4 linked regions of the Cricetulus griseus genome follow. The protein of the gene in region 4 binds, or shares a complex with, the protein of the main gene of each other region. Links are inferred from orthologs where the notes say so. Each region holds a gene or a part of one and is shown on either strand. Other genes may lie near its edges. The genes, in order: Magohb, Upf2, Magoh and Upf3b.

Region 1 (5,429 bases), on a different chromosome or scaffold from region 4:
CAAGCTCACTGTCATTTTGTGCTCTTCAATACCATCTCACACCATAATGCTCCTTACCTCTCCAGTTTAAGCCATTGGGAATTGTGGCCTACCCCCCCCCCCAACTGTTAATCCTTACAAATGAAGCGACTCATAAGTTCTACTTATGAAAAACTTTACCCCGATGGCTGTCTGGGCTTTTCAACTTCATGTGCTGTTTGAACACCAAACTTCCCACTAGAGCGATTCATTTTACTTTTGTCTTTAAAATTTTATTTCTTTTTCCTTTTCTTTGTTTGCTCTCTTAGTCTTAGTTTAGGCTGTTGGCTACTGGGTAACTGTGAAGCACTGTGCAAAGGCTTGTTAGGACTCAGGAAGATATTCTGGTTGCCACTGGAATGCATCTTTACTCACCTCACCAGTTACAGGAAGTAGAGCCACACCCCGCTTTACAATGTGCTTCGAGATCAGAGATACCCACAAGAAGTGCAGCTTGTAAACCTTGGCTAAAAACCCAGAAAAGCCACACCCACACCAGAGGGCAACCAGAAAGTACAAGTGGTTTACGAATGTTCCTCCCAAGCCCATTAAAGAAAAAAAAGAAAAGCTATTTGTTCATTACTAAGATAAAATGAAATTGGAAGGAAAAAGGATGAATCTGGAAATTATTATAGTAAGTGGGGGGTAACCGTGAAGTATTAAGACAGATAACCCATTCACTCTTGAACGTGGATCTTAGCTTGTGTACGTAGTTAGATGCTTTTGAGTGTTGGTTATCAAACCAGAAAGGGGACTGGGGGCTAGTTAAAGAAATGGACTGACGAGGTAACAAGGTGCATTTGACAAGACAGTGCGTGTTATGATAATGTGTGGGGAACCTTGGCAGGCGAGGGACAAACATGCCAGGCAGGCAGAGTTTAAGTGAGATTAGAAAGGGAAAGGAGGGGGGGCGGAGGAAAGAGAAAAGAGACACAGAGGCAGAGAGAGAACAGAAGAGAAGAGGGAGACAGGAAAAGTCCTGTCTGCCCCAAGGGAGCAGCGGGAAAGAGAGCCTGAAAGAGAGCATAAGAGGGCGGGGTGGGGTGGGGGTGTGTCTCTCTCTTTTAAAGGGGGTCCTTTGCACCTGCGTGCAGACTTCGCAACCACGGACCCCTGGGCTGACCCGGGTACTGCCCGAGTGCATTCTGCCAGGTGACGGGGACAGGCAAGCATAATGCCTGAGTCCTTAAAGTGCGAGCAGGAATACGCGGGCAGAAGGGCTGGAGGCAGTAGATGGAGGAGGTCACACCCAAACAATACAGAATCCAGGTCATGAAATCCGGGGACTTCAGCCTCCATCGTGCTCGTGCAAGCAACCCTTACTAAACTCGGTGAGGGCCCCCGACCCACCCGCAACCCAGACACAAGGAAGACAGAAAAGGAGACAGAAAAGGAGAGAGGGTAACGAGGAGGAAGTGACTAAAATTCATCATACACGTGTATGAAAATCGTCCAAGAACTAAAAGGGAAAGAGCAAACCATATAAAAATCCTTTCCCAAACGAAAACAACGTGCTTGGGATCTCGGTGCAGCCGCTGCTGCGCGAACCTCTAGCTGTCCTCAGCGTGTCCGGCGGGACCCGCGGCTCCCCTGGCTTTCTTTTCCCTAGGGAGAAGGCGCGCCCGCCGTGACGTTCTTTGCCCGCGCCCCTGACGTCACTGCCCCGCGCCGGCGGCACGTTGGCCTGGCCGTGCAGCGGGCTGGGCCGACGGCAAAAATGTCTATGGCTAGTGATTTCTACCTGCGCTACTACGTAGGGCACAAGGGCAAGTTCGGGCACGAGTTTCTGGAGTTCGAGTTTCGGCCGGACGGTGAGCGGCGGAGGGGCCGCGAGGGAGGGCGAGCCCCCAGCGGGTGGGTTTCTATTTCTGTTCTTCCTTTCTGTGTTATTTCAGTTTTCCTGTTTGGTTTTGAGTCCGGGGTGTGTGTTGGGAGGGGGGGGGGTCTCGTTGTTTAGTCCAGGATGACTTCGAACTCCCGGTCCTCCAGCCGGGCTGGAAGGGCTTCTTTCCGACATAGATTAGAAAGCGCCCGAGCGTGCAGCGTAGCGGGCTTGGGTGTTTGTTTTTGTGAGAGCAAAATTGCTGTAAAGGTATCCAGAAAAGCGCACCCAGCTACCGCCAGCGAAGTTGAACACGGAAAAATCGGAAACCCAGAATGCAGAGCCTGTGCCTCGGCAGTGTTGACGGAATTACCGAGTGATACTTCAGCAGATACTTGAAGTCTTTGGGGGGCCTTTTGGCCTGCTCGCTCATTTACTCTGTGTTGAGGATGCTTTCTAGGGGAGGAAGCTCCCCTGTCTGAACAGGAGTGTGATGTGTGTTAGGCATTGAAATACCGTCTTTATCATGATACGTGGATGGATGGAGGTCAGAGGGAAGGCCCTAAATGAAAGCTTCCCAGAAGCGCCTTTCTCATTGCCTACTAGGTGTTCAGCCCTGTTAAAAAGAAGCTGACTATCTCCTCCCCAGCCACTGGCTGTCAGAGCAAGTAGACGGTGAACACAAGCTCTGTGCTTTCTGAGAGAGGCAAAGGCGGAGGAAGTAGCTGCTGTTGCTCTGGGTGGAGAGTGGAGGACTTGTGTGGTCCCACTCATTGGTGGGAACGACAGATAAGGTTTCCCACGAAATAAGGCTTCATGACCCCCTGCAGAGTGTGTCTGCTGTCCAGTAAGGAGCATACTTGCTGTAGATCAAGGAGAAACATTGTGGATGCCAATCTGATTGTCTTCAGATTGGTTATCATTAAAAAAAAAGGATAGTCCTGGACTGACAGCTAGCAGAGTCCTAAAGCTTTTCAATTTCTCTAAAGATGGTATCTACCAGTATTTTGTCAGAAAGCTCTTAAACAAAGAAGGTAAGAAGTCCGGGGCCAAAGCACCCAAGATTCTCAACTCCAACTTACTGCTCTGAAGAAACAACACACTAAGAAAAACGACAAAGCTGCAGGATATGCTACACTCTTGGCCTACAGAATGAAGGAAGCCAAAAACAACAACAACAACAACAACAACAACAACAAAAAACCAAACCAAACACCAAAAAAAACCCCAAAACCCAAAACAACCCCCAAACAAAAAAACACCAGGCATAGATTTCCAAGAGACATAGGCTGTCCTTGCTGAGAACTTCTACTTTTAAGTCTGAGTCCAGTAAAGAGTAACAAATAAATGATCAAACCTTGAGTTGAAAAAAGAAAACAAAAACAAACAAAAAAACCCCAAACCCAAAAGCTTCCCCTAAACCAGGTGTGGTGGCTCATGCTTCTAATCCCAGCACTTTTGGGAGGCAGAGGCAAGTGGAGCTCTGTGAGTTCCAGGCCAGCCTGGTCTATAGAATGAGTTCTGGGATGGCCAGGGCTATACAGAGAAAGTCCTTCTGTAAAAACAAAACAAAATACCAAAAATAAAATACAATAAGCCAAGCTAAAAAAAAAAAAAAAAAAAAAAAGTCCCAACCCCATAAAAGCTTCTCCTAGAAGATGAGACACTTGAGATCAAAAGGAAACACTTTCTTGTCTTCTGGGTGAAAGAAAAACCAGAGATGAGCAGAGTGAGCAGTGGTTTGTGGAAGCCCCTCCAGTGTAGTGTAAGGCAGTTCTGTCTGGACAGATCTGCTTTCCTGGGTTTTATTTTTGAATACATATTTAAGTGCCAAAGCTGAAGGTCGAACGTGAGACACAGACTTTTGTTTTTGATTTTGTTTTTTTTGAGACAGGGTTTCTCTGTGTATCTTTGTAGACCAGTCTGGTCTTGAAGTCACAGAGATCGCCTCCCCCTGCCTCCTGAGTGCTGGGATTAAAGACATGTGCCACCACCGCCCGGCTGAGACACAGGCGTTTAATCGTATGACTGTATAGATTTTAATTAAGTGCTGTGGACACGCTTCTTTGAAAAGGAAAGTAGGAGAGGATCATGTATATGAATCAAGCTTTGCAGAAGAAGTCAAGGTAACTGTGATCCTGTAGTTGTTTAGAAACTTAATAACTTTACCCTTTGTTCTCCAAAATTTGTTTGGAGCAAACTTACTTTGTTTTTTTGTGGTTGTGGTGGTGGTTTTGTATTTTTTAATTTGATTTGCTTTTTTTATTTCTTTTGTAGTTCTGTTCTTAGCCCCCTTGGCTGTGAGTGCCATGCAGCTTGTCCTTGTCACCCCGAGTCACACAAATAAGAGTAATACTTACCAGGGAAATGCTCTGTATGGATTGGTTCTCATGCACCTTTGCCACCCAATCATTCCACTTACATGAGAAATAGTGACTCACAGAATTTACAGTTCTTGCTGGGTACACCCCAGTATGGTGATCTGTCATTTTAGCAGATAAGAAAGCCATCACAGCTGTATCAGCCCATGGCTGACTAGCCATGCAGGGATGCACACTTTGGGAGCTTCGGAGGTCATGACAGATGGTTTGAAATAAATCAGCCAACAAACTGGCAGTTTACATGGTCTGCATGCTTCCAGTTATAATTTAAAGATTTTTTTCATTATCTTAATTATACACTAATTTGAAGGAAAACAATTAAGAGAATATTTTGGAATAGTAGAGAAAGGGTTGATACAAAGGAGACTTCTTGAGACTTGTGTGACTCTGAGCAAGTTGCTTAACTTGATTTTATGCCCTGTGAATAGGTGAGAAAGTGGAAGCTGCTGCTCGAATTCCTTTAGAGATCAGAAGAAATGCTGTGAGAGCTGCCTTAAGCATCAGCATGTCACACTTGAAGAGAATACTCAGTGCTTTGTCACAGTCACGTTTAGTTTAGGGGCTAGATTGAGAAAATAATCTTGTTTGTTGTGAACAACTTTAATCCCAGCAGTTAGGACACAGACTGAGGCAGGTGGATAGATCTCTGTGAGTTCAAGACCACCAACCTGACTACACAGTGAGATCTTGTCTCAGAAAGGGGAGGGGGGTGAGAACAGGCCTTAAGAAACCTGACCCATTCTAAATGGAAGCTGTGGAACATTTTTTTAATTATTAGTTTTTATTCTTTTATTAGTTCAAATTAGGAACAAGCTTGCTTCACGTGTCAATCCCTTCTCCCTCTCCCTCCCCTCCACCCAACATCCCAACTGCCCCTAGCCATCCCCCCTCCACTCCCCAGGCAGGGTAAGGCCCTCAAAAGGGGCTCCCCAAATTCTACCACATCATGCTGTGGAACATATTTAAGTTTGCTAGCTCACTTTTATATTATTGAGTGTTTATCACTCATCTTACACGAGGAAAGTAGATTTGCTACTAAAAGTGGGATATGAAATTGGCCTTCCCTTTAAAATTGCTCATGGTGTTCTTTATCTCTGCACAGGAAAGCTTAGATACGCCAACAACAGCAATTATAAGAATGATGTGATGATAAGAAAAGAGGTAAGTTGTTCTCTCTCTCTCTCTCTCTCTCTCTCCTTTTTTTGTTT
Region 2 (4,945 bases), on a different chromosome or scaffold from region 4:
TGAGTGAAGAGGGCAAAGCACAGGAAATGATCCAAGACCTTTGGTGAAGTCCTGAAGACCATGAGTTGAGCACACACATTGGATGTTGTATTGTTCACACAGCTGGAGTTTGGTTTTGCTTTGGTTTGTGGCTGTGCTCTGGTTCTCTCTTGAAGTAAGAAAGTATTTAATTTTGATTTTATAGGAGCCCACAGCTGAAAGACTTTCAACTTTTTAAGAAGATTTTGGATTTTTAGAGAGAGTTGATATTTTAAAGAGACTGAACTTTTAATGCTTTTCAATTTGTAAAGATTATGAGACTTTTAAAGTTATTTATGTTTTTAATGTGAGATCTTGGGGGTGGATAAGAAAGGAAAGACTGTGGCTTAATAGTGATGTGTTTATGCGTCATGTCAACAATTGGTTAGTTGTACTGGCTGGTTTTGTGTGTCAACTTGACACAAGCTAGAGTCATCAGAGCCTCAGTTGAGGAAAAGCCTCCATGAGATTCAGCTGTAAGACATTTTTCTGAATTAGTGGTCAATGGGGGAGGGCCCAGCCCATTGTGGGTGATGCCATCCCTGGACTGCTGGTCCTGGGTTCTGTAAGAAAGCAGGCTGAGCAAGCCTTGGGGAGCAAGCCAGTAAACAGCACCCCTCCATCAGCTCCTGCCTCCAGGATCCTATCCTGTTTGAGTTCCTATCCCAACTTCCTTTGGTGAACAGCAACATGGAAGTGTAAGCTGAATAAACTCTCTTTTTCTTCCCAACGTGCTTTTTGGTCATGGTGTTTGTCATAGCAATAGAAACCCTAAGACAATAGATAAGTTAAGTTGTTCTTTTTCTTTTTTTAAAGTTGTGGTTTTAGATAAAATAGGACACAGAGGTTAGCTGAAGAGTTTAAGACTCTCACAAAGAAAGGATACAAGGAATGAGCTTGGAGGAGACTTGGAAACTAATATTTCTCATCATCTCCTAAGCTATTTTGTATGTTTAGCATTGATGTAACAGGCTTCAATAAAATTAACTGTACTGAGTCTAATCCCAAACTCTCAATTTGTTCACAAAAACACTAACAGAAACCCTTGTGAGGAAGAAGCAAGTGAAGGCTGTTTACCTCCCACCAGTCTTAAAGATTAGATCTGCATTAGGTGCTCCCTTTGGATGTTGGTAACGAGGCCGCCGCTCACGATTGGTGTTGGCTGGAGCTGGGCGTTGTGCAAGAGACTGCAACATTTCTGTGATTAGGAGCAAAGGGAAAAATGCTGTTAGCTCTTGTAAATATGTACTTCTACAAATACACAAATCACCAGGGAGATCCAGTTCATTGGCGTTCATATATACATAGTAACTTTCAAAAAACGAGTATTATATAGGCTAATGATTATGAGGTATTGAAAGCATGAAAAGGTAAAGGAAGTAACAATTTTGATATCTGGTATACATTGTTAGCAGGTTTCTTTTTTCTTTTTGAGAAAGTCTTACTATGTAGCCTAAGCTGTCTTCAAATGTTTGGTGATCTTCCTGCCTCAGCCTCCAGAGTGATGGCATTGTAAGCCTATGGCCTATGCCACATTCCTGGCCTATAAATTATTATTACTATCTTATACACTATCTTTTTTAAAAAAAGACTTATATATTTACTATGTATACAATGTTCTGCCTGTACACCAGGAGAGGGCATCAGATCTCATTATAGATGGTTGTGAGCCACCACATGGTTGCTGGAAATTGAACTCAGACCTCTGAGCCATCTTTCCAGCCTGCCTATAAATTATTTTATACCTTGATAATCTTCTTGTTCTTGTCGTTCATTGATATCTAATGTGAGCTTTTTCATTCTCATCCTCTCCTCTTGTTCTGCTTGTTGCTGGTTCCAATGATTTGCAGCAAGTTGGGATGACATGGGCACATTAAGAATCTTAAACTGGAGGAAAAATAACATTGGAATCACAAATAGCTTGATAAAATAGTCAAGTAGAATTGAATATATTAGTTTAGAAAGCAGTACTATTAGGCTGAGCAGTGGTGGTGCACACCTTTAGTCCTATCACTTGGGAGGCAGAGACAGGTGGATCTCTGCGTTCGAAGCCAGCCCAATCTACACAGTTAGTGCTAGGACAGGCAAGTTACACAAGAAACCCTGTCCAAAAAAAACCCAAAAACCAAACACCAAACAAATCAGAAAACCCCAATGTATCCTTCACTATACATCAGATTTGTCCAAATGATACCTGTATTATCCTAAGAAGAAACACAGCCTTTTGGCAGTGGATGAAAACCAGAAAGCCACTAAGTTTAATTGACTTCATGAATAGCAGTTCTCTGGAAGAAAATGCCTAGAGCCAGGACAACTTTTCATCCTGCAGACCAGTGATATGTAAACAACTTTTAAAAGGCTTTTATAAAGCAAAATGAAAGGCATATTCCTTACATTTCTACCTGCTTCCCAAACTATATAGGACAAATCTGACCCATCTTCCTCACTCTGAGTACTTCGTTTTGAAGATGAGACTGAAGCAACTGACCCAGAGATCCAGTTCCCTTTCTTGGAATGCTTGTTTTAAGCAAGGTGTTTCTAGCTTAGGAATGCATATGGCAGACAAACCTAGATAAAAATCTATAAAATCATGGCTCATGGTTCCATGGGAAATTTTTAAAGTAAGCTATACTAACCACCTAAGCATATAACCTAAAATCTCGGTTGCACTGTCCTAAGAGACCTAATGTATGACTCTAGATCAAAGGCATGATCACTCACTGAGCTTCTGGAGCATGTGTCAGTAACAGTAGGGGACTGAAGGTGTTTAAAGCTGGATCATAACAGCTGCATTTTAAAATTACATACATACATACATACATACATACATACATATAATATAGAGTCTCAAGTTATAGTAAGTACTAATTATTCTAGTTGAAACATGTAACAAATCATAATTCTTTATGGGTACTGGTTGCAAAAGAATGGTTTGTCTTCCAGTATTAAGTTAAATATACTTTGCTTTTTTTTTTTTTTTTTTTTGGGTTTTTCGATATAGGGTTTCTCTGTGGTTTTAGAGGCTGTCCTGGAACTAGCTCTTGTAGACCAGGATGGTCTCGAACTCACAGAGATCCACCTGCCTCTGCCTGCCGAGTGCTGGGATTAAAGGCGTGCGCCACCAATGCCCGGCTACTTTGCATTTTTTAAGCATTCATTTTATTTGCATATTTGCTTGTGTGAAGGAGAAAAGAGAGTGTTGGATTCCTCAGAGCTGAGTTACAGGTGTCTGTGGGATTCTGGTTTGCTGGAACCAAACTCCGGTCCTCATGATTGTATCGCAAACACTGAACTGTTGAGCCATTTCTCTAACCCCTACTCTCTTTTTTCTTCAAGACAGGGTTTCTCTGTGTAGCCCTAGCTATCTTGAGAAACTCACTCTGTAGACTACCAGGTTGGCCTTGAACTCAAGACATCCACCTGCCTCTGCCTCCTGAGAACTGGGATTAAAGGTGTGTGCCACTAGTGCGCAGTTTACTTTGTATTTTTAAAAACAAAATATGCTGAATTATATAACAGAGCTATTATGCTAAAATTTTTTAATGATCAAATTCATAAATATGTAAATGTAGACATTGATTTTTGACACTGTTTTTCTTTTACTTCTCTTCACCAACTCACTTCATTGATAAACAATTTTTTGCAGATGATGTCATAGTAAGTTTTTTCTAAACAGGAATCTGGTACACAAAGAGATCTTTCACTGAACTGAACAATTAAACATTCCTATACAGCAACAAATTTTACACTTGAAAAAAAAGCCGTTGCATCAAAAAGCCAACATCTAAAAGCTAAATAAAAAAAACAAAACCCACAACAAAATACACTTATTCAAACCACAAAATACCATGATGCTTCTTCAAATAATTTTCCTGAAACTGGCCTTCAGATTAATGACCCTGTTTCAACCTCTGAGAATTATAGGTGTGTATCAACATGCCTAGCCTTAAGGTACATCTTGATTTAATTTCAGAGCCTACAAGTTGTATACAGACTAAACAGCATGTGCAATCTGATGACAATGGATTTTTATGTGTAACTGAATATAACAAAGAGGAAAACTGTTGTATAGCTTTTCTTCAGAAAAGAAAATTCTAAGCTTCCTTTCAGTTAGTAAAACTCAGGACCCCAAGGTACATGCCAAGGCATGAGTAGCTATGCAGTAATGAGAACCAAGAAATACCTAATTATGTATAGTTGCTAAACACTGCCCTTTGGGCCCCCCACCATGTAAAGGCTTTGTGTATTGTATATGCTTTAAAATGCTAGAATTAAATTACCTTTTCAGACTTTGTGTGTGTGCCAAGAAAAGTCGTTGGCATGGGTAGGGGGTACAGCGGAAGAGCACAGAGGAGAATAAAGGAGACCTAAAATGTGATGACTAAGTTTCTTTTTAAAAAGTCTAGCTCAAAAAACTAAGTAGGCCTAGGGAAAAAAGTTCAATCTCTGGGATTTGAGGTTCCTGGTTTCAGTGGTAAATTAACAACTCCAGGTAACTGAAAAGTAGTTTTGGTAAAGATCTGGATATAACACCTAATTTAGGATTCCTACCAAAACCAGCTCTCACTTTCCTCCTTAGAGACTGAGTGAGCACAGAAAGCACAGACAGAGGGGTGGGCCTTGGCCCTATTATGTTGCTATAATCGAGACTTCACATACCAGCCAGCAAAAGAATGGTATAAAGTAGGACTTCCAAGATCACTTATCTAAACAAGAAAGTATGGACAAGAACAGAGATACTCAGGGCTGGAGAGATGGCTTAGTAGTTAAGAGCACTGAATGCTCTTCCAGAGGACCCGGGTTCAATTCCCACCACCCACCCAGTAGCTCACAAATGTTTGTTATTCCAGTTCTGTGGCAAAACACCAATGTACATTAACAGTGTGGAGGGTGGGTAAACATGGCTGCAAGGTTCTTCAAGCCTCTG
Region 3 (5,710 bases), on a different chromosome or scaffold from region 4:
TGAGGAGGGTTCAGGATCAAAAGTACCTAAAGACAGTAGTCCAGCTCCCCAGCTACTTGTTGGTATATCCTGTCTGTCCACATCAATGTTTTCTCTGTATTCTAGCTCATGCAAAAAAAAAAAAAAAAAAAAAAAAAAAAAAGAAAAAGAAAAAGATAGGATGCTGACTCGGCATAAAATTAACAGCCAAATGGTATGATGGTATACTTGACCGTTACATTTTTTTCCCCTTTTTTCTAGACAGGGTATCTCTAGCTTTAGAGTTTGTCCTGGAACTCAATAGAGATCCCCCTGCCTCTGCGTCCTGAGTGCTGGGATTAAAGGCATGAACCACCACTGCCCAGCCTGACTGTTATATTTTCAAGTGTGACTGAGTGGTTAAAAGGAAACAGCAACAGGGCAGTGGTGGCACACACCTTTAATACCAGCACTCGGGAGGCAGAGGCAGGGGGATCTCTGTGAGTTTGAGGCCAGCCTGGTTTACAAAGCTACACAGAGAAATCCTGTCTGGGAGTGTAGGGCAGGGGGCAGGGCAGGGGGGGGGGTGCGGCAGAGTTTTGATGTAGCTGTAATGTATGCTAGAAATCATAACAGAATGGAATACATGAACTTTATTGAAATATAAGTATGCCTAAATTTTGGCCATTATTTCTTACAAAGTAAAGCAAGAGTAACTTTGAACAAGCCTCAGATTTAATATCTGGGCCTTAATTTCCTATATATATATTTATAGAATATTCTGTCACATAAGTGTTTAAAATCAGGGTTAAAGAACATACATATATGCCAGGTGTATGCCTTATTTCCAGGGAGGCTGAGGCAGGTAAATATCTGAGTTCCAGGTCAGCTTGGTCTATACAGGGAGTTCCACAACAGCCAGACTAACCCCTGTTCCCTTTCAGAAGCAAACCCAATGCTAGGAACTATATCAAACACTGTAAATATATTTAATTCTGTGATAGTACTTAGGAGTAAAAGGTAGGTTTTATTATCCCTCATTTTGCAGATGGAAGTATAGTGACCAAGTTTAGCCAGGGAACTTATCTGAGGTCACATGGTCAGTATGGAGCATATTGAGGGTTCAAACCAACACAGAGATTTCAAAAAGTTGCTAGTTATTAATTCAGCAATCCAAATAAATAAATAAATAAATAAATAAATAAATAAATAAAAAACATGCAAACCAAAGATGTGAGAAATAATCTAGCCGTGTAGAAATAGTGCTTAGCTGGGTGTGATGGAGCACACCTTCAAACCCAGCTTGGGAGTTTCAGGATGGCCAAGGCTATACAGAGAAACCCTGTTTTGAGAAACAAAAACAAAAAACCAAATAGAAAACAAAGAAAAAGAAGTATTTGTTTCTCCACTCTTTACTTTTCATTACTATTACCAGAGAGCGCAGAAACAATGTAAAGGGCTCACTGGTAGTGAAGGACAGGGTCCTACCTCTTTTCTGATCATGACATCATTTTTGTAATTGCTGTTGTTGGCATATCGAAGTTTTCCTGTGGGGCAAATAAATAAATAAATAAATAAATAAATAAATAAATAAATGCAATTTACAACAAAACATCAACTCAGTAGCCTACTAACAATACCAACTTTGCCTAAATTATATCCAATTCTCTCTCTTGGCTGTCCTGGAACTCGATCTGTAGACCAGAATGGTCTCAAACTTACAGAGATCCACCTGCCTCTGCCTCCTGAGTATTGGGACTAAAAGTGTGGGCAACCACCGCTGTAGCCGGCATTATATTCAATGTTCAACCCAATTCACAGCTATTATATTAGTCTTTACAGTGCTCCACTTTAAATTATGAAACAGCTGAAGACTAACCTGACACTGAAATAGAGTTCAGGCAAAAGTTACTTTGATTTGGCAAAAGAACACAGGCAGGCTCTTTTACGACTCTGGCAAATAGCTTTTCAGCAGGTCAATGATCTCAGCTGTAAACAGAAATGATAATTGCTAAGTTCCCTGCACAGAGAACATGCTGAAAGTATTTTGAAAACGGTAGGAAGCGACATACACATGCCCATGTGGTCTTGTGGTATGATCTATTTCTGCATACTTTTAAATTGAGCACATTTGGTTCATAAGTCCTTCTGTGCATGAGTACAACCACCAGGCTAGTTTGGGTATATAGTGTCATGTGGCAGAAAAAAACAGGGAACTTTGGGGAGAAGCATCTAATTTAGTCTGACTGTCTGAGCAGGTTTCATGCATAAAGTGACTTAGGTGGGTGGAATATAGGAAGAATGTGAAGTGTAGGTGTGGGCTAAGGGACCAAGAATAGAGAAGATGGTGTTTTGGACCAAATTCACATCAAAGACACTGGAAACTAAAAAGTGCTTGGGATGTTGCAGGCAGAAACAAAGTAGTGTGGGCAGAGTATTGTAGGGTTGAAAAGGCAGACAGGAACTCAGCTTGGCTGTATGCCATGGTAAGGGGTTTGAATTTTGTCAGGAAGGCAGAGGGAAGTTATTGACAGTATCAGAGAACTACAGTCATCTAATTACACAGGCCTCTTGCTACATGTTCTTGTCCATCTTATAGAGAACTAACTGAAAAAGGGAAAGATTTGAGTAGAATTGTCCTTGCCTCCTCACCACACCACAACCGTCCCAAAATATTATCAATCAGATACATTCAGATCGTCTCCAACAGTATCCTAAGTCTTCTCCACGTCTATAGTCCTAGCTGTCCTAGTCCCGACCGCCATCTCATGTCTATTCTGTGTCCAAGCGCTAGGATGCTTTCTGAAGATCATCACACCTTTTCTCTTATAAGCTTCAAGCTGTTTCCTGCTGCTCCTATTTATGGTCTACAAACACCTAACATCATCTCCTACTGGTTTCCCTAGAATTCTGTCCTTCAGTCACCTCAACGGCCATCTGAAACATGCCTGGTTCTTTGCTGTCCTATGACCTCTACATTTGCCACTCCGATAGAAGACTTTTCTTCCTGAGCTTCACAAACTGACTGGTCCCTTCTCGATTCCGGCTCAATTCAAATACCCACTGTTCAGAGTGCTCTCGAAAAAGAGACCCTATTTTCGGATCACTCCTCACTACAGGAGATCACTGTTTATGGTTTCTCCCAGTACCTAAACACATGTTCCACGAGAGGGGAAATTTATCTTCGTGGCTCTGTCCCCAGAGTGGAACACGGCCCGGTGTAAGATGGACATTCAATCAATCTTTGTTGAAACGTTAACAACCTGGCTTTTTAAAGCCACTAAGAAGCCGGGCGTTGGTGGTGCATGCCTTTAATCCCAGCACTCGGGAGGCAGAGGCAGGCGGATCTCTGTGAGTTCGAGGCCAGCCTGGTCTCCAGAGCGAGTAGGCTGCCAGGACAGGCTCCAAAGCTACACAGAGAAACCCTGTCTCGAAAAACCAAAAGAACCCAAAAGTTACTAAGGAGAAGCTCCAGCGTATGGACAGAAAGGACCAGTGAGGCCGAAAGAAAAGACTACGCCTTTCACAACCCAAGAGCTCCGGTCTCAGTCCCTTCCTTCACAAAAGCCGCGGCCCGGCCTCTCCGCCCTCCCCCAGGTCCCGTTTCCCTTCCTTGTAGGCGGGAGGCCGCTCTTACCGTCAGGTCGGAATTCAAACTCCAGGAACTCATGACCGAACTTGCCTTTGTGACCCACGTAGTAACGTAGGTAAAAGTCACTCTCCATGGCTCACACGGGACAATCAAGACCGAACTTTACGAACAGATCACACTACCACGATCTGCGCCCTCTACTGACGTAACGGCGGCGCGCGGAAGTGACGCCACAACCGCGCCGTTAATAACAGTTTTTTCACCCTTGGGAGGCGGGAACGAGACTACCCCGCCCCCGCGTCCTGCGGCGAGATCCGGATCACCGCTCCTCCTTTCCGGAAATCGAGTGCTTTGCGAGGTCCTGCGCTTCCGTTACGTCCTGGGCTTCCACGGGGCAGCTTTACCTATAGGCTTAGGGCCAACCCTGCGATCTGTAGTCCAGTCAGGCTCAACCGCAATGTAAAGACACACGAAAGAGGCCATTCACACTCTGAACCCAGGTGGTCTCCACAGTAAAATGGGCAAAAAATGGCTCCCCCATCTTTGAGCACGCTGCCCCCTTCCCCACCCCCAGGGTCTGAATCAGGAGTTGCGTTTGAGGGGCAGTGTAGTAGCGAATAGCTGTGGCCTAGCACTCAAAAGCTTAACGCCGCCCAGGAGTCACGAGTTGAGGCTAGAGGCTGCATACTGTAAGACCCTGTCTCGAAAAAGTTCGCTTTACTTTTTTTTTTTTTTTTTTTTGAGACAGGGTTTCTCTGTGGCTTTGGAGGCTGTCCTGGAACTAGCTCTTGTAGACCAGGCTGGTCTCGAACTCACAGAGATCCGCCTGCCTCTGCCTCCTGAGTGCTGGGATTAAAGGCGTGCGCCACCACCAACGCCCGGCTCGCTTTACTTTTGTGTGTTTGTTTTGGGTTTTCCAGACAGAGTTACTCTGTTTAACAGCTCTGGCTGTCTCTTTTAAGAAAACTTTTCCCCGAGCAGTGTTAGTGCACACCTTTAATCCTTAAGGCAGGTGGATGTCTGTGAGTTAGAAGCCAGCATGGTCTACAGAGCGAGTTCCAGGACAGACCCCAAAGCTACAGAGAAGCCTTGTCTCGAAAAACAAACAACACCCCCCGCCCCCCCCCCCCGTTTTCAATGACTCCTTCCCCAATCCACAACGTTGCCTGGAACTTGTCTGCACTGCCAACATCCCCTTCTGCCGTTTGCTTATTTTACAATTTATAGGCAAGGTGCAGACTGACGGGGCACTTGTGACCCTCCTACCTCAACTTCCAAGAGTGTCACCTCTTAGGCACAAGTTGCCTCTCATCTCTCCTGTCTCCCAGGCTCACTGCTGTCTAGGATAGGTGCTGTGGGAGGATGTTAAAGTGGACATTGGATTCCCACTCCCAGATACCTTACCCACAGTGATTCTAAGCCACACACACACACACACACACACACACACACACACACACACACACTGTGGGAGGATGTTAAAGTGGACATTGGATTCCCACTCCCAGACACCTTACCCACAGTGATTCTAAGACACACACACACACACACACACACACACACACACACACACACACACTGTGGGAGGATGTTAAAGTGGACATTGGATTCCCACTCCCAGACACCTTACCCACAGTGATTCTAAGACACACACACACACACACACACACACACACACACACACACACTGTGGGAGGATGTTAAAGTGGACATTGGATTCCCACTCCCAGACACCTTACCCACAGTGATTCTAAGACACACACACACACACACACACACACACACACACACACACACACACTGTGGGAGGATGTTAAAGTGGACATTGGATTCCCACTCCCAGACACCTTACCCACAGTGATTCTAAGACACACACACACACACACACACACACACACACACACACACACACTGTGGGAGGATGTTAAAGTGGACATTGGATTCCCACTCCCAGACACCTTACCCACAGTGATTCTAAGACACACACACACACACACACACACACACACACACACACACACACACTGTGGGAGGATGTTAAAGTGGACATTGGATTCCCACTCCCAGACACCTTACCCACAGTGATTCTAAGACACACACACACACACACACACACACACACACACACAGGCCCAGGCCAGGACTTTGGCACCGGGCACA
Region 4 (5,208 bases):
GTGCTCTTAACCCCTGAGCCATCTCTCCAGCACCCTAACTTGCTTTTTTTTGACTGAATTCTCTTTGGGGGCAAAGGGGGCTCCTTGACCTTGAGTAAGAGGCTTCTACATGCATAGCATGTGCTCTACTGAGTCACACACCCCAATTCTTTCTTGGTTATCCTTACTATTATTCTCTATTACTCTTTTTATGGTTTTGATTTTCTTTTTTTATTTAATTTTTTATTTAATTTTTTATTTAATTTTTACAAATTATAATTTCACATGTCAATCCCTTCTCCCTCTTTCCCCCTCCCCTGGTTTTGATTTTCTTATTGTTTTGTTTGAGACATGTTTCCCAGGCTGGCCCTGGACTCAGTGTGTAACTAAGGATGACCTCCAACTTCTTAGCTTCCTGCCTCTACCTCCCAAGTTTTGCCATTACACACTTGTATCATTATTCCCAGTTTATGGTCTGATTGGACCCAGGGCTTCACACATGCTAGACAAGCACTGTATCCTGTGAGCCATACCCCCAGCCCACCACTTTCTAAATTCTTAAAATGGCTTATAAGTTGTCTAGGGTGATACAGTCATAAAGCAAACAGAGGACTTGCTGAGGGTTCAAGTCCATGATTTTGTTGGCTTACTGAGGAATCTTGATTCTAAAATTCCACCTGTTGGGTTGGTGGGTTGTACCTAAATTTGAGCTCATGTTTTTAGCAAACATGCAGTCCCAACTACTAGGAAGGTGGAGGCAGGAAGATCACAGGAGCCTAGGAGTTCAAGAACAGCCTTGACAATACAGTGAGAGTTCATTTTCTCAAAAGTTGATGGCAATTTACTTCGGTTCTAACCTCATAGCTTTCAGGGAAGCTCCCAGGCTTTTTATTTTAAAATTTAATTAATGTATGTGTGCAAGTTGAGGTCAGAGAACAGGTTGCAAGAGTTGGCTCTTTCCTTTTTCATGTGGGCCCCAGGGATCAAAGTCACCTCCTGAACCATCTTACCAGCCAAAGTTTTCATTCAAAATTAATGTCTATATCTAATGAATATTTTTACCTATATTATATATGTATATAATATATATTTGTGCTAGGACCTTGTTAGGTAAGTAGTCTACCACTGAGCTAAAACCCCAGCCCATCCTAAACATATTTTAGGTAGTTTGGGATTTTATAGTGAATTTTTTACATGGGACAATGTGGCTCATGTCTGTAATCCCAACACTGGAAAGTTTGAGATGGGAGGAGTTCATGTTGAAGGTCAGTCAGTCTGGGCTACCTTAGGCCCTGTTCTCTCTCCTCCACCAAAAAGGGCAATTTACTGGTGGTGAATAACAGGCAGGTTGTTAAGGTTTCTCCAGAGATTTTTTCCCTAGGGCCAAGAATCTAAAACTGGCTTTGCACAGATTAGGCAAGCATCTATTACTGAGCCACAGCTTAGTCCTTTGTCATATTAGTTAGGGTTTCTTCTGCTATGAAGACACACCATGATCACGGCAACTCTAATTGGGTGACTTACAGTTCAGAGGTTCAGTCCTTTATCACTATGGTGGGACATGGCATGGAGCAGGCAGACATAGTGCTTGAGAAAGAGCTGAGAGTTCTATCTTTGATTTGCAGTCAACCAAAAGTGAACTGAGTGTCTCACTGGGCATAACTTGAGCATATATGAAACCTCAAAACCCACCCCCACAGTGACATACTTCCTCCAACAAGGCCACACCTACTCCAGCAAAGCCACACCTCCTAATAGTGCCACTCCCTATGAGGTTTGGGGGGGGCATTTACATTCAAACTACCATACCCTTGTTTGTTTTAGTTTTGACATTTAAAAAATTAAGAGCTAATTAAGTAATCTTGAGATAGCTTTGAAAATTAGGCAAATACATTATATGCATGTATGAAATTCTCAAAGAATTAATAAAAATATTATTATTTTAAAACTAGGCGATAGGTGTCTGCTTCTGCTCCCATCACCTACTGGATGAAGGGTCTAGGATGGCATATAAGGTAGTCATCAATCTCATTATCGGGGAAGGGCATTTAAGGTAGTATCTCTACTATTGTTTAGATTCTTAGTTGGGGTCATCCTTGTAGATCTCTGGACATTCCCCTAGTGCCAGATTTCTTTTTAAATTTGTAATGGCTCCCCCTATTAAGCACTGAGCTGTCCTGGAATATAGTTGTAGAGAGGGGTCAAGACCATACTAGAGAAACCCACAGAAACAGTGGACCTGACCAAGAGAGAACACACAGACCCCAATCAGAAAGTTCGGCAACCAGATTGGACCGAACCAAGCCCTCTGAAAGTGGGTACCACTTAGGAGTCTATGGGACCTCTGACAGTGAAACCAGTGTTGATCCCTAGTGCACAAATGGACTTTGAGAGCCCATTCCCCAAGGAGGGATACTCTCTCCACCCAGATACACAGAGGAGGGCTTAGGCCCTCCCCCAAATGATGTGACAGACTGATGATCCCCGATGGAAGGTCTCACCCTCAATGGGGGGTGGGATGGGGGATTGGTGGGGGAATGGGAGGGAGGGGAACTGGGATTCATATGTAAAATATGATTGTTTCTAAACTAAATAAAAAAACTAAAAAAAAACAAAAACTAGGCAATAGATTTGTCAATTGTTTTTTTCTTTTTTCTTTTTTTTCCTTTCTTTTTTCTTTTCTTTTTTTTTTTTTTTTTGGTTTTTCCAGGCAGGATTTCTCTGTGGCTTTGGAGGCTGTCCTGGAACTAGCTCTTGTAGACCAGGCTGTCCTTGAACTCACAGAGATCCACCTGTCTCTGCCTCTCCAGTGCTGGGATTAAAGGCCTGCGCCACCACTGCCTGGCCAGACATGTGATTCTTAAGTGACTGTTAATTGGGTATGGTGTCAAACACCTTTAATCCCAGCATTCAGAAGGCAGAAGCAGATGGATTTCTGTGAGTTCGAGGCCAGCCAGGGCTACACAGAGAAAGCCTGTGTGAAATAAAGAAGTGACAGCAGCTATAGCTAGTGTTGATGGCCTGTAGTCCTAGCTACTTAGAAAGCTGAGGCAAGAAGATGTTAAGTTGAAGGTCTACCTGGGCAACTTAGTGATAGCCTGTCTCAGAATGAATAAAAAGGGGGCTGGAAATGGAGCTCAGTAGAGCACTTAACTAATGCACAAGGCTCTTGTTTCAATCCCTCCTTTAAAAAAAAAGAAAGAGGTTACTTTTCAGATGGAGAGAGGAAATGGGACTATGTAGCACACATTCAGGTCTTTGACCTGGTATAACTTGATTAGGGGGGTATGTGAAAGTACAGTTTAGGTCTCTAAAATCCCCCATGTTCAAGAAGAGTAACAGTGTTGTAACATGAATATTTTGTTTTGTTTCAGGATCGTCCAGCAATGCAGCTTTACCAACCAGGAGCTCGAAGCCGAAGTCGACTCTGTCCCCCTGATGACAAGCCTGGAGATTCACCAGTGGACAAAAAGCAGGAAAGTGGTATTAGCCATAGAAAAGAAGGAGGAGAGGAGTGAGAAGTCCCGATGGCCATAGGTGTCCTGACTGTCCAGGCAGCCAAAGAGCACGTATTATGCTATCCAGAAGTGCCTTCAGGGCAAAGGAACAGAGAACAAGAAAACGGGTCGCTGTGCTGGTGGGGTGCACTGCAGAGGAGTGTAGTGTGTCTAAGCAGGAATAAGATTGCAGGCTCAGAATCAGAAGAACAATTTCATTGTCTTTTGCAGTTTTCACAATTTTAATGTCTCAGAAAAAGAAGGTAGGAAGAGCATTGCAAGTGAAAAATGTCAAGTAAGGACTTAACTTTGACAAGCCAAAAAGGAGCAGGGTCGAAAATCAACAGGTGTTCTAAATCCTGGCTTGGAGTGTCTTAGTTGGAATGGAGCAGAAGCACACTAAGTCTTGTTGGGCTCTAACTATTTTGCATTGTTGGTGATAACCATTGACTTGGTAGTGTAGAAGCAACAAGCATGTAATTATAGCACAAGTAGAGTGCAGGATAGAACAAATTACGGCTGATGGAAAAGATTAATAGTCACCTTACATCTATATCCTGTGTCTGAAGTTTTTGTAATTATAGCTTGTTTTGTTTACTTCTGTGAAAGTAGCATCAAAAAATATTTGTAAATGTCTTATTTTGCCTTTAGCATTTTTTCTATTAATAGGTAAAGTGTAATCCTTGTTTAGTTGCTGACAATCTAGTGTTTGTTTTATCTTAGGTGTGATGACTTAAGTGCATACCCTCTCCAGGACGGAAACTACGCCAATATCTGTTCCTGTTAAATGGCAGCTTTCAGTCATAGCTTGTTTTGTATTGCTGTCAATAAATTTTGAATTCACTCAAATATGAAAGTACATTTATTTATTCACATACTGGCTTATTTATAGGACTGGGAATGGAATCAAGGGCCTCTTCCACTCAGCTATAACCTCTCCAGCCCCAAGCTAAGTGACTTTATTAACCTTGTTAAGTAGCTGTTGGTTTTCAGAGATTAAACATTTGATACTGAATTAACTTCTTGGGAACTTTGAAAGGGCATAAATGATATTAATTTCTGCCTTCAGTAGGCAAGGAAATTTTCCACCAAAAAGAGGGGTCAGATCATGGTTCACCATTCTTTTACTGTAACAAAATGAAGCTGGTCTGTGTGGTTCGAACCTGCAATGCCAGCACTCAGGTCAAGGCATGAGGATTGACATGAATTTGAGGTCATCCTGGACTACATAGTAGGATGTAGGGCTAACCTGTGCCAGAAAGTGAGACTGCCTTCACACAACAAATGCACAACATTCTTTTTTTCCTCTTTATTTATTCTATGTATCTTTTACATTGTGTATCTTGATCCCATTCATTTCCTTGTCCCTTCTAATCCCCCTCTACCCCTGCATCCCCTCTCAGATAAAACAAAAGAGAAGGGAAAAGAAAAAAAAGGAAAAAATTAAAAATCTCGTCATGGAATCTGTAGTGTGACACAGTGAATCACACAGTAAACCCTTTTGTCCATATCTCTTTACTTGCAAGTGTTCATTGCAAAGAATCTGGTTCGCGGCCTCTGGTTTCTGTTACACTACTAATGTTGGGCCCTCACTGGGCCTCCTCTTGGATATCCTGTTGTTGCCCTGTGTCCTGGAGATCCTGTAGCTTTGGGTCTGCGGGTCAGGTCCCTTCATGTGCTCCAGCAGATCACAGATGGGGTGGAGTGGATGTTGGGGCTGGTCAAGTCCATA

The links.
Region 1: Upf3b (region 4) and Magohb share a complex: the UniProt entries of both Homo sapiens proteins name them as parts of the mRNA splicing-dependent exon junction complex. The link is inferred for Cricetulus griseus from reciprocal best matches to the Homo sapiens genes UPF3B and MAGOHB.
Region 2: the proteins of Upf3b (region 4) and Upf2 are in contact, whole or in part, in a crystal structure (PDB 7NWU), measured with the Homo sapiens proteins. The link is inferred for Cricetulus griseus from reciprocal best matches to the Homo sapiens genes UPF3B and UPF2. Residues at the interface, in NP_542199.1 of Homo sapiens: Lys52, Arg56, Arg57, Tyr79, Glu81, Phe83, Asn85, Asp86, Thr87, Ser88, Leu89, Tyr90, His92, Tyr94, Arg96, Tyr98, Ile130, Glu132, Pro135, Phe136, Lys138, Ala139, Ala140, Arg147, Asp148, Lys150, Val151, Gly152, Thr153, Ile154; in NP_056357.1 of Homo sapiens: Lys767, Arg768, Pro769, Pro770, Leu771, Glu773, Tyr774, Lys777, Lys790, Arg793, Gln794, Arg796, Lys797, Leu798, Pro799, Trp800, Gln801, Cys811, Ile814, Asn815, Trp817, Tyr837, Gln838, Glu839, Asp840, Ile843, His844, Val846, Asp847, Gly848.
Region 3: Upf3b (region 4) and Magoh share a complex: the UniProt entries of both Homo sapiens proteins name them as parts of the mRNA splicing-dependent exon junction complex. The link is inferred for Cricetulus griseus from reciprocal best matches to the Homo sapiens genes UPF3B and MAGOH.

What each region holds. Positions count from the first base shown.
Region 1 is NC_048601.1:16,032,016-16,037,444, forward strand, and holds the start of Magohb (protein mago nashi homolog 2), read left to right. Parts: upstream 1-1,661; 5' UTR 1,662-1,735; coding exon 1,736-1,829; exon of another isoform or gene 1,830-1,872; intron 1,873-3,758; exon of another isoform or gene 3,759-3,966; intron 3,967-5,323; coding exon 5,324-5,382; intron 5,383-5,429. UniProt on the Homo sapiens protein: Required for pre-mRNA splicing as component of the spliceosome. Plays a redundant role with MAGOH in the exon junction complex and in the nonsense-mediated decay (NMD) pathway.
Region 2 is NC_048596.1:223,229,805-223,234,749, reverse strand, and holds part of Upf2 (regulator of nonsense transcripts 2), read right to left. Parts: intron 1,906-4,945; coding exon 1,764-1,905; intron 1,217-1,763; coding exon 1,096-1,216; coding exon of another isoform or gene 1,092-1,095; intron 1-1,091. UniProt on the Homo sapiens protein: Involved in nonsense-mediated decay (NMD) of mRNAs containing premature stop codons by associating with the nuclear exon junction complex (EJC).
Region 3 is NC_048595.1:41,958,485-41,964,194, forward strand, and holds the start of Magoh (protein mago nashi homolog), read right to left. Parts: upstream 3,779-5,710; 5' UTR 3,684-3,778; coding exon 3,596-3,683; intron 1,506-3,595; coding exon 1,447-1,505; intron 1-1,446. UniProt on the Homo sapiens protein: Required for pre-mRNA splicing as component of the spliceosome. Plays a redundant role with MAGOHB as core component of the exon junction complex (EJC) and in the nonsense-mediated decay (NMD) pathway.
Region 4 is NC_048604.1:29,415,160-29,420,367, forward strand, and holds the end of Upf3b (regulator of nonsense transcripts 3B), read left to right. Parts: intron 1-3,353; coding exon 3,354-3,497; 3' UTR 3,498-4,325; downstream 4,326-5,208. UniProt on the Homo sapiens protein: Involved in nonsense-mediated decay (NMD) of mRNAs containing premature stop codons by associating with the nuclear exon junction complex (EJC) and serving as link between the EJC core and NMD machinery.